Coturnix japonica: one gene and its partner. The protein of the gene in region 2 interacts with the protein of the main gene of each other region in a biochemical or structural test. Links are inferred from orthologs where the notes say so. Each region holds a gene or a part of one and is shown on either strand. Other genes may lie near its edges.

What was found.
Region 1: the proteins of F5 (region 2) and PROS1 form a complex in vitro, tested with the Homo sapiens proteins (2 studies listed by BioGRID). The link is inferred for Coturnix japonica from reciprocal best matches to the Homo sapiens genes F5 and PROS1.

What each region holds. Positions count from the first base shown.
Region 1 is NC_029516.1:80,452,154-80,457,095, reverse strand, and holds part of PROS1 (vitamin K-dependent protein S), read left to right. Parts: intron 1-147; coding exon 148-337; intron 338-1,313; coding exon 1,314-1,481; intron 1,482-1,943; coding exon 1,944-2,112; intron 2,113-3,678; coding exon 3,679-3,827; intron 3,828-4,562; coding exon 4,563-4,776; intron 4,777-4,942. UniProt on the Homo sapiens protein: Anticoagulant plasma protein; it is a cofactor to activated protein C in the degradation of coagulation factors Va and VIIIa. It helps to prevent coagulation and stimulating fibrinolysis.
Region 2 is NC_029516.1:74,924,306-74,928,580, forward strand, and holds part of F5 (coagulation factor V), read left to right. Parts: intron 1-1,258; coding exon 1,259-1,414; intron 1,415-2,194; coding exon 2,195-2,339; intron 2,340-2,480; coding exon 2,481-2,629; intron 2,630-4,275. UniProt on the Homo sapiens protein: Central regulator of hemostasis. It serves as a critical cofactor for the prothrombinase activity of factor Xa that results in the activation of prothrombin to thrombin.

The sequences.
Region 1 (4,942 bases), about 5.5 Mb from region 2:
TAATAGGATGCAAATCTCACAAATGCTCAGAAACAGAATTACCAAAAGGTGACTATCAACTGTTTCTTACCCTACTAATAGGTTTTCCTAGGCTCTTCAGTACTTCAGGATTCCTGTCTTAATAAAAAATTCTTCTTCATAATTCAGATTTTCAGCAGAATTTGATTTCCGGACATACGATACAGAGGGAGTTATACTATACGCAGAATCCCTTGACAATACAGCATGGATCTTGCTTGCTCTTCGCGATGGAAAGATTGAAATTCAGTTCAAGAATGAATTTGGAACAAAAGTTACCAGTGGAGGAAAAGCCATTAATGATGGCCTGTGGCATATTGTAAGTTGGATTTGCCTTTTTCCCTTCCTTTAATCCCCCAACTGAACTATATGCAGAATGTAAGTAACTATTCTGGAGGCTTAAAATGATGCTCCCATATCTCAGATTTTAAAAAAATTAACCAAGAAATGTGCAAGGATGCCCTTCCTCTGGGAATTTGTGGTACCTGTTGTCACAGGTTAATTACAAAACCATGACACCTGTTTATCATCATAATTGGTAAAGAGAGAGCTAATACTACCTAGCAACATAGGAATTCTTCTTTGTAATCATGAAAAAGGAAGCAGTAGATAATTAGAAAGTGTGATTACAGGTTGAACTCCACAAGAATAAGACACTTTGCCTAGAAAGCAAATCTACTTTCAGTAAACCAGAAGTGCAGCTTGTTCTTCAAGCTTGCACTCCTAAGATGAAAGACCTTGCTCAGTTATACCATCTGTAATTGACACCATATTGTTAAGATAAATTTGTTTTTAGAGAGTGAGACAAGAGAACCCAGAATTCAGCATAGACCTCTTACAGTTCAGTTCAACTTGCTTGAGATTAAAATTCTACTTTGATGCCTAATAGTAGCAAGAGCTGAATCTGTTCTGTTTGTGTTCTGTCTGGAGACTCAACCCTCTGTATCCTGATTACAGGTTACAGTGCAATGGAGAACTGTATGCCAAATGTAGAAATTGTACAATTGTAGAAGTCAGCATCTTGAAAGTTCTATAGGGCATGAAGCAAACTAATCAGCTGTGTAGGTATTCTTGTGGGTAGGATGGGAGTAAAAATAAAGATGATCTTTCTATTGGATGTCCACAGCTGATCCAAATTTAAATATGCTATAAAGTACTGAATGCATTAGTGCTGTTTTACAATTCAGATATTTAGTGATATAAAAATAATCCTTCATACAGGCATATATAATTAGCATTTAGAAATATCCTACTTATTTGTGTGTACATATTTAAATAGTTACATTTCATTCTAGATATCAGTTGAAGAACTAGAAAACAGCATCAGTGTAAAAATAGCTAAAGAAGCAGTGATGAACATTAACAGCCCAGGAACTCTCTTCAAGCAATCACACGGTTTCTTGGAAACTAAGGTGTACATTGCAGGGTTACCTCGCAAAGTTGGTGACACTCTCATTAAACAGGTAACTAAAAAATCAGTGTTAATTAAGATTTATTACTTTCTGTATTTTTTCTTTTGCAGTCACACAGGAAAGAATAGTAGCTTGGAATCCATTCGGAAAATGAAAATTGGGTTATTAACCACTGTTTTGAAAGTAAATGTGCAGACAACTTTGCAGTCTATCCTCTGGTTTCAGTTATAAAAACACAGTGCTTAAGGCCTAATCACGTTTGTGATGTTAGCTTCTGCTATGCCCTGAGTGGGTACGGAAATCAACATCAAAACTGGAACTATTACATCAGGATAATTTATGGAAGGCTGACATACTAAATGCATGCCATTTGTTTTCTCTCAAGTATCAGTTCTGTAACCAATAGCATTGAAATGCTATTACTGGCTGTATGTTGATATGTAAAGTAAGACCTTCTTAATAGTTTTAAAATAAATTTGAGTTCACACCTCTGGTGCTGTAATTCCTCTACAGATTAACCCTCGGCTGGATGGGTGCATTCGTGCCTGGAACCTGATGAATCAAGGACATTCAGGTGTAAAAGAAGTTATTCAAGAAAAGCAGAGTAAACACTGCTTAGTAACAGTTGAGAGAGGATCATTCTACCCTGGAAATGGCATGGCAAAGTTTAATATAAACTACAGTAAGAATTTTTCTGTATGTTGTTATACTTGTTATACTTTTTGCTGGATTTTGCTGGAGGTGATGAATTGTAAAGGAAAGAAAAAGAAAAGAAAAACAACACTAAGCTACCTACCACTGCATTCAGTGGTGATTCCAGTAATTTTTTTGAGGAATATGTTTGAGTGAGGGTTTTTGCTCCCACTGATGTCATCGGTTTAATTTCTCAAATGCTTTAGGCTAGGAAGCATATTCTTCATTTGTAAAAAATGGGCACTAATTCTAATTAGATCTAATTCTGCTCTGTTTATCCATGGAGAGACCTACAATATTATTGACAGAGAAAGTATATTGGGGATGTGGAAAAGGATCACTACAGTTTTGTTCATATAATTCATCTCTTAAATGAACATCCTGTTGGAGTGCCTATCTTCTCCTGAACCCAAAAATTTATTGCCTGTCTTCCTGCCCTAATTTCAAGTTTTGCAACTCAGGATCACCCTCTGCTCTCTCAAATTCCTGAAGTGAAATATATCTAGTATCATCACAAATCTTGTCATCATTGCACTTCCATATCTCAGATGCTTTCCTACCCTTCAACCTCCTTTTGATCCCCAGTCCTTTTCATCCTAGGAATAGTTATTCCTTCTAAGGCCTTTTATTTACATCCTTGGTATCCCACTTCAAAAGATTTCTCTAGCTTCTTACATCAAGTTTCCAACCAACTCAAGTGATTTCTTATGCCATAGAAGGTTCCTCTGCTTTGCTCCCATTCATTCACATCATGCTGACATGTATCCTCCTGACCTTTTTACATGGGCTGCTGCTATGCCTTCACTCTCTCCACACCCCATTCAGTTTCCAGCCCCATACCACCCTCCTCAAGTTCAAGTGGCTGCCCACAGCTACTACTGCCTTCCCACAGGCTGTTATAGCCCTCTGCTTCCACTCACGCTTTCCTCTGTGTAGGGATCTGACCTAATTTCATGTTCTAGAATTTCTGCTTCTTGAAGAAACTACCAGAAATCAACTTAGATGTTACTGGGGAAGGGAGGGCAGACGCTAGAAGTTAGAAAAGTTGACAAATAGCTCTTTAAACAATTTTTGTATTAGCTTCACTGTGAATACATCATATTAAATTATATTCGCACCATCTGCACGTTTGTTTTACCCATCTGCGTATTCCCATTTTAATAGCGGAATGATTTCAGAATGTAAAAATGTGTCATAACTGCCAATCTTCTACTCAGTGGCAGAAATATATGAGTTAAGTCATTTTTTTAAGTTTGATCTTAAATTGACCTATAGTAAATACGGCACCTGTTCCATGTTAGAACAGAGAAAATAGCATTTAAAACGTCTGACATCTTAAAAGAACAATAGCAAAGATGCAAAGTTTGAGTGGGTTGTTTTGTTGGTTAAGTTTAGACTTGCAGTTCTTTCTAGAAGGTCCAAAATTCACTTTTTCTGGAGATTAGTACTAATTTTTCCACAATAGGAAAACAGATGGAGTAGTAATTTTTTAAGACTATATTAATTTTTCATTAGCAGGTTAACTAATTACTTTCAATCTTTTCTTTTAAAACAGACAATCTTGACAATGCTGAAGACTGGCTAATAAATGTGACCATGACTATTCGCCCATCCGCAGACACTGGTGTTATGTTTGCCCTGGTTTCTAATGAAACAGTGCCTCTTGCTTTGTCCATAGTGGACTCTAACTCTTCTGACTCACAGGTGATCTTACAGTTTCAGCATATGGAACATCAACTGACATGAATCACAACTCTCAGCTTTGTATCACTTAACTTACTACTCACTTGTGAAAAAAGTCAAACTAAAAAGAACTTACTTACACACAGAGGAGGTGGAAAGCTGAATTTATATTTCGCAAAGCACTTCCATCATATTTTGATGTGCAGAAAATGAATTACTATTTGCAATTGCTACAGCAGGGACAAAGCACTAAGTGCTCCTGTGTTAGGTGCTATTCATTATATCATGTCTCTAACATCTCCTTCCAAATGCACAAAGCAGAAAAGGGAGTATGGTAGAGGTTGAGTCATGATATTAAGGCAGTGATGTTAGTTTCAATTTATAAACAAATGTTTTTGCTCATCCATACATCTGCTGAAATGAGAGCACATAAGGAAAACTAAGTACCATCGAAGCTGTAGCAATACTCCCTTTGACTTTAAGAGAAACAGGATTTCACCTCAGAACCACAACCAAAGGGTTTTTACAGTGAATGTTCTCATTTACAAGCTTCAGAGTATAAGTGAATGGCTTTGCTTACAAAGGTGATGCAGCTATCAGCTTCAGTATCTTTTCCAGCTTAATATACATCTTTTTAAAACATCTCTCATATTCTTTTTCTTTCTACTTACAAATGTAAAATGTATCAGAATTAAGTATTATTGTGTGTTAAAGTTACACGTGCCATATTTTGTGACTTTATATTCTCTTGTTTAGGAAATCATTGTGACTATTGGAAACATCACTGTGGCACGTCTAGAATCAAAGAAGCTATGTACACCCAGGAAAGTGCAAGTTGGACTTCTGGTAACCAAACAGCAGCTACAACTGTCTGTTGATTCACGCACAGACCAAAGCAACGCAGAGCTACTGTCTGTCCTGCATCAAGCAATGATAACAGATGTTGTCACCTACTTGGGTGGCCTGCCAGGTGAATTATATTTCTTTTTATTCATTTGTTCTTTTGTACAAGCCTAGTTATGTTCAGCCTTTCCCAGGCTATACAAAGCCTACAGCTGTAAAAGAAACCACAGAAGTCAGGAATATTTTTTCAGCAGCTAGGCTCTGGGCAACAGTTGACTGCCATTCTTCGTGAG
Region 2 (4,275 bases):
TTAAGTCTGGACATGACCATACATTCCTGTGTTGTGTTTTTCTTGCAGCTTGTATTAGAAAATCAAGCTGCTCCTGTTCTTGCAGAGAAAACTGCTTGGGAAAACACAAGACACAGCAACTTTGCTTAGAGATGCCATAAGTTGCCTACCTCTCCTGGAGTTAACCCAGTCTGTAGTGCCACTGAAGCTCAGTGGTTCAACAGTCACCCTTACAATTTAGGCTGAAACCGTTCTGTAGGCAAACAAAATCATTCTTTACCTTTTCTTTTTCTTTGCCTACCTAACAGTATAAATTTATTTTTATGTACATTTGTTGGGTGATCATTTAATGTATAATACCCTCAAGTATTACTTCAAATGGTTTTGGAGAACTTTTATTTTTACTGGATGCTTCAGCTTTTATGTTCAGCTTGACATATCACAGGCAAATGAAGCTTCAAGCACTGTACTCTTTACGTGCTTCACTTCCATGTTTTTCTTCTATCCGATGACTTTTGCACCAGTTAAACCCATACCTGTGATTTCTTTAAAATCTCATGAAAATGACCAGTTGAGGGAAGAGAGAGACTCAAACTAGTGTTGCAGCATAAGTTCAACAGGTAGCTGTTAACAAGCTGTTAGCTTGTAAACAATTTACATGCTAGCAAGTTAGTGGAGGTGAAGTAGGGGAACTGCAAAATATGTTGAGAAGATAAACAATTTGATAAGGGCTATAGTAATGAGAAGCTGAGGTTATTGCAAGAGATCGTGCAGAGGTGTGGATGGAGGGCATATTCCAGAGAATCAACTCCACTGCTGATAGGAGCATCTTGCTAATTTGTTCTTGTGTGCTAAGTCTTAGGATCCAATATCAGAAGAAATGGGGTGGCTTTCCATCTCTTCTGAATAAAATGTCCCATTTATCAGCCTGGATTTCCAAAACCAGAGGCAGCTTATGAAAATGTGAGCCTTGGGTTTCTCTATACTACTTTTGCCTATCTGCAAAATAGAGAGAGCCCTTTTGCCTAGCACAGACACAGATATTTTTGAAGTGCCTTTGTAGTGCTCTGGTGAACCCTGGTAAAATGACCTCTGAAGTAAATACACATATGAAATTAGAGACAGTATTCATTTGGACTCCAGCAACTGCTTGTATTCCTTCTGAGGGTGTTATATTGTGGATACCAAAATGCAAAGCTACTGTGTAGATGCCAAAGAATGCAACTTATATCATTGTGTGGTTCTGACTTTATAAACACTCGTTTTTTTCTGTTCCTAGGTGGACTTTCAAAGACAAGTTCTATTAACTGGAATACAGACGCAGGGTGCCAAGCATTTTTTAAAGTCTTTCTACGTCCAGAAGTTCTTCATTGTTTACAGCAAAGACAAACGAAAGTGGAACACTTTCAGAGGAGACAGCTCTCCAGCAGAAAAGGTTTGTGCATACAACGGGGATTGCAACAAGCTAGGTAACCTCATTGGATGATACAGCAAGTTGATAATTTTATGTTAGAGATAATGGAAGGAGTGGTGGTATTCAGAGACTTTAGTAATACAGCTTGAAACCTCAATGAGCATTTACTAATCAAATTCAGACCAGAAGGCAAATTGTAAGATAAACCTGCTAGACTGGGATTTAGATCGTTCCTGTGACCTTTTCTGTAGAGTCTGGCTTCCTCACAAGAATTTCTTCCTATTTTTATTTCCTAAGCTCACATTGACTTTTGGAAATGAGCAGGAAGATGAACTAAAAATTAGACCCTATTTCATTTGGAACCAGATGCATCTTCCTTTTTCTTCCTCCCTCCTGTCACAGCAATTGAATTTTAAGCTCTCTGCATTGCCTGTAGTTGGCACATGTAACAAGTCTGGACATAACCCAAAAGAGGCTTCTTTTATAGTCAAGCACTCCAGCCTTGCCAAATACAGCTTTCTGTGGTAGGACTCCCAAATCAAAGAACTTTCTCTTACCTCTTCTTTTGCCACTTTTCCATCAGTTTTATATAGCACATAGCAATGGGTTGCTTACTTGAACTGAGGCCTTTAGATGCTAAGACGGGACCATGAAATAATACACGTTGCCTCGCAACATAAGATGCTCCATCATGGGCTAATGGCAAAAAAGACTTCCATAACAGAGCAGGCTTTTCAATATCCAAACTTGTGTTTGTATTAAATTAACTATATGTGGGTTTGTTTTTGTTTTTTTTAATAGATTTTTGAAGGTAATTCTGATGCCTATGGTATAAAAGAGAACATCATTGATCCCCCTATTATTGCAAGATATATCAGAGTCTACCCAACACAGGCCTACAATGAACCCACTCTTCGCATGGAGCTCCTTGGCTGTGAAGTAGATGGTAAGGATGATTCATGTGCTTCCTTTCTGGCAATTTTTTAACTTTTATGTTCAAAATAAGCTTAAATTGTGAGTGTTTTCCATTCCAGCTTTGTTACTTAGACTATGGCTACATGGTTGAATATGGCACTTCTCTTAACAGGTTGCTCTTTGCCACTTGGAATGGAAAATGGAGAGATCAAGAATACTCAGATAACAGCCTCATCTGTTAAGACATCCTGGTTTAGCACCTGGGAGCCTTCCCTTGCCCGTCTCAATCAGAAAGGAAAGATAAATGCCTGGCGAGCCAAGGTAACAAATGGAAAAAGAGGGACAAGCACAGGACAGCTAATGCTAATGGATTTGTACTCTGTGCTCTCGTGCTTTCTGCACACTGTGCCCAGTGCCAAACATGACAGGTTGCCTCACAACTCCTTAATGATCTTGTGAGAAGAAGCCCATTCAACTCTCACTAGAAAACTTGTTAAACTTTAGGCAACAGCATTAAAATCATATTTTGGAGAGATGGATGCTGCCCTTTGATCCACAGCCTGCAGCACTTCCCTGTGGAAATCTCTCTCTTAATTTCACCAAATGAATACAAGCTTGAATATTTGGCTCCATGGGGCCAAAGAAACCCTTCCTGGACTGGCTAATAAGTAGTACGGCGTAATGAATCTAAGGCTGCAGATTTTGTGCTTCATTCTGCCCCTGTTCTATTGAAAGACCTTCAATGGGGCAGGTAAACTGCATCTGCAAAATGGAGCTGCATTTATTTATGAAGCACCCTCAGAGTGCTGAGGATAAAGTTGCTGGAAGCAAGTGTTTGCTAGAAGTGTTTGGTAACAGTATTATGTATAAAGTACTTTGGAATTTACTGGAAGCTACTGTTTTATATAAGCATTTGATATTATGTATTATGTTCTAACAGTCGAGATAAATGTGTATTATTGTGGTGGGTTGACTTTGGCTTTTTGCCTGGTTCCCACCAAGTCATTCTCTCAATCCCCCTCCTCAGCAGAATAAGAGGAGAAAACAGCTACAGAAGGACTAATGGATTATGATAAGGGCAGGGAGATTGTTCACCATTTACTGTCACAAGGCAAAAACACTCGACTTTGGGAAGCTTAATTTAATTTATTGCTAACTCATTACAAAGTAGGACAGTAAGAACAACAACGAGCTAAAAACACCTTTCCCCTCAACTTCTTCCCAGACTGAGCTTCACTTCTGACTCTCTCCTTTCATAGCTGCTGCATGTTTTTTATCATTTCATAAACATGGTATCAAAGAAACAAGCAGCGTTGCTCATTGGCTTTGCTTTGGCTAGCACTGGGTCCACCTGGAGTCAGCTCTATCCAACATGAAGCGGGAAGCTCCTGGTCTCATTTCACCTGCCTGCAGTTCCCCCCTTACCAAAACTTCACCATATAAACATAATAGTTATTTTTCTACATGTATTGAAAATAATGTGAAAATCCCGAGGTACCAAATATACCACCTGCAATGAAGAAGTTAATTGTAGTGGACAGCCACAAAACGTGCTTATGACTTTTATTTTAGCTTTACTGTTCCTCTTTGCAGTTTTGATACGATCTTATCTACATCAGTTGCTCTGAAAGTAGTATGTCCTATTTATTCCTATGGAAACTACAACAGATACAAAGAGCACAATAACACTATTTGACAGAGAAAATTCTCGGCTACAAAACAGTATTTTTCAGTGTAGTCACCACCATTACCTGTTCATTTTCACCAGCAATGAACTGTGTGCCACAATGGTAAAAGGTATATACACCTTTGCTTCATTGGCACTCCCATGTCAGACTCTATTCTGTCAGACTGCCTCTCTGCTGCCATCTGTCACACAGCAACAACACGTAATGGAATATTGGTTGGAAGGTTCAACCTCTGCTGCTGTACCACCACCATCTGCCTCTGTCCTGGACCAACATAAT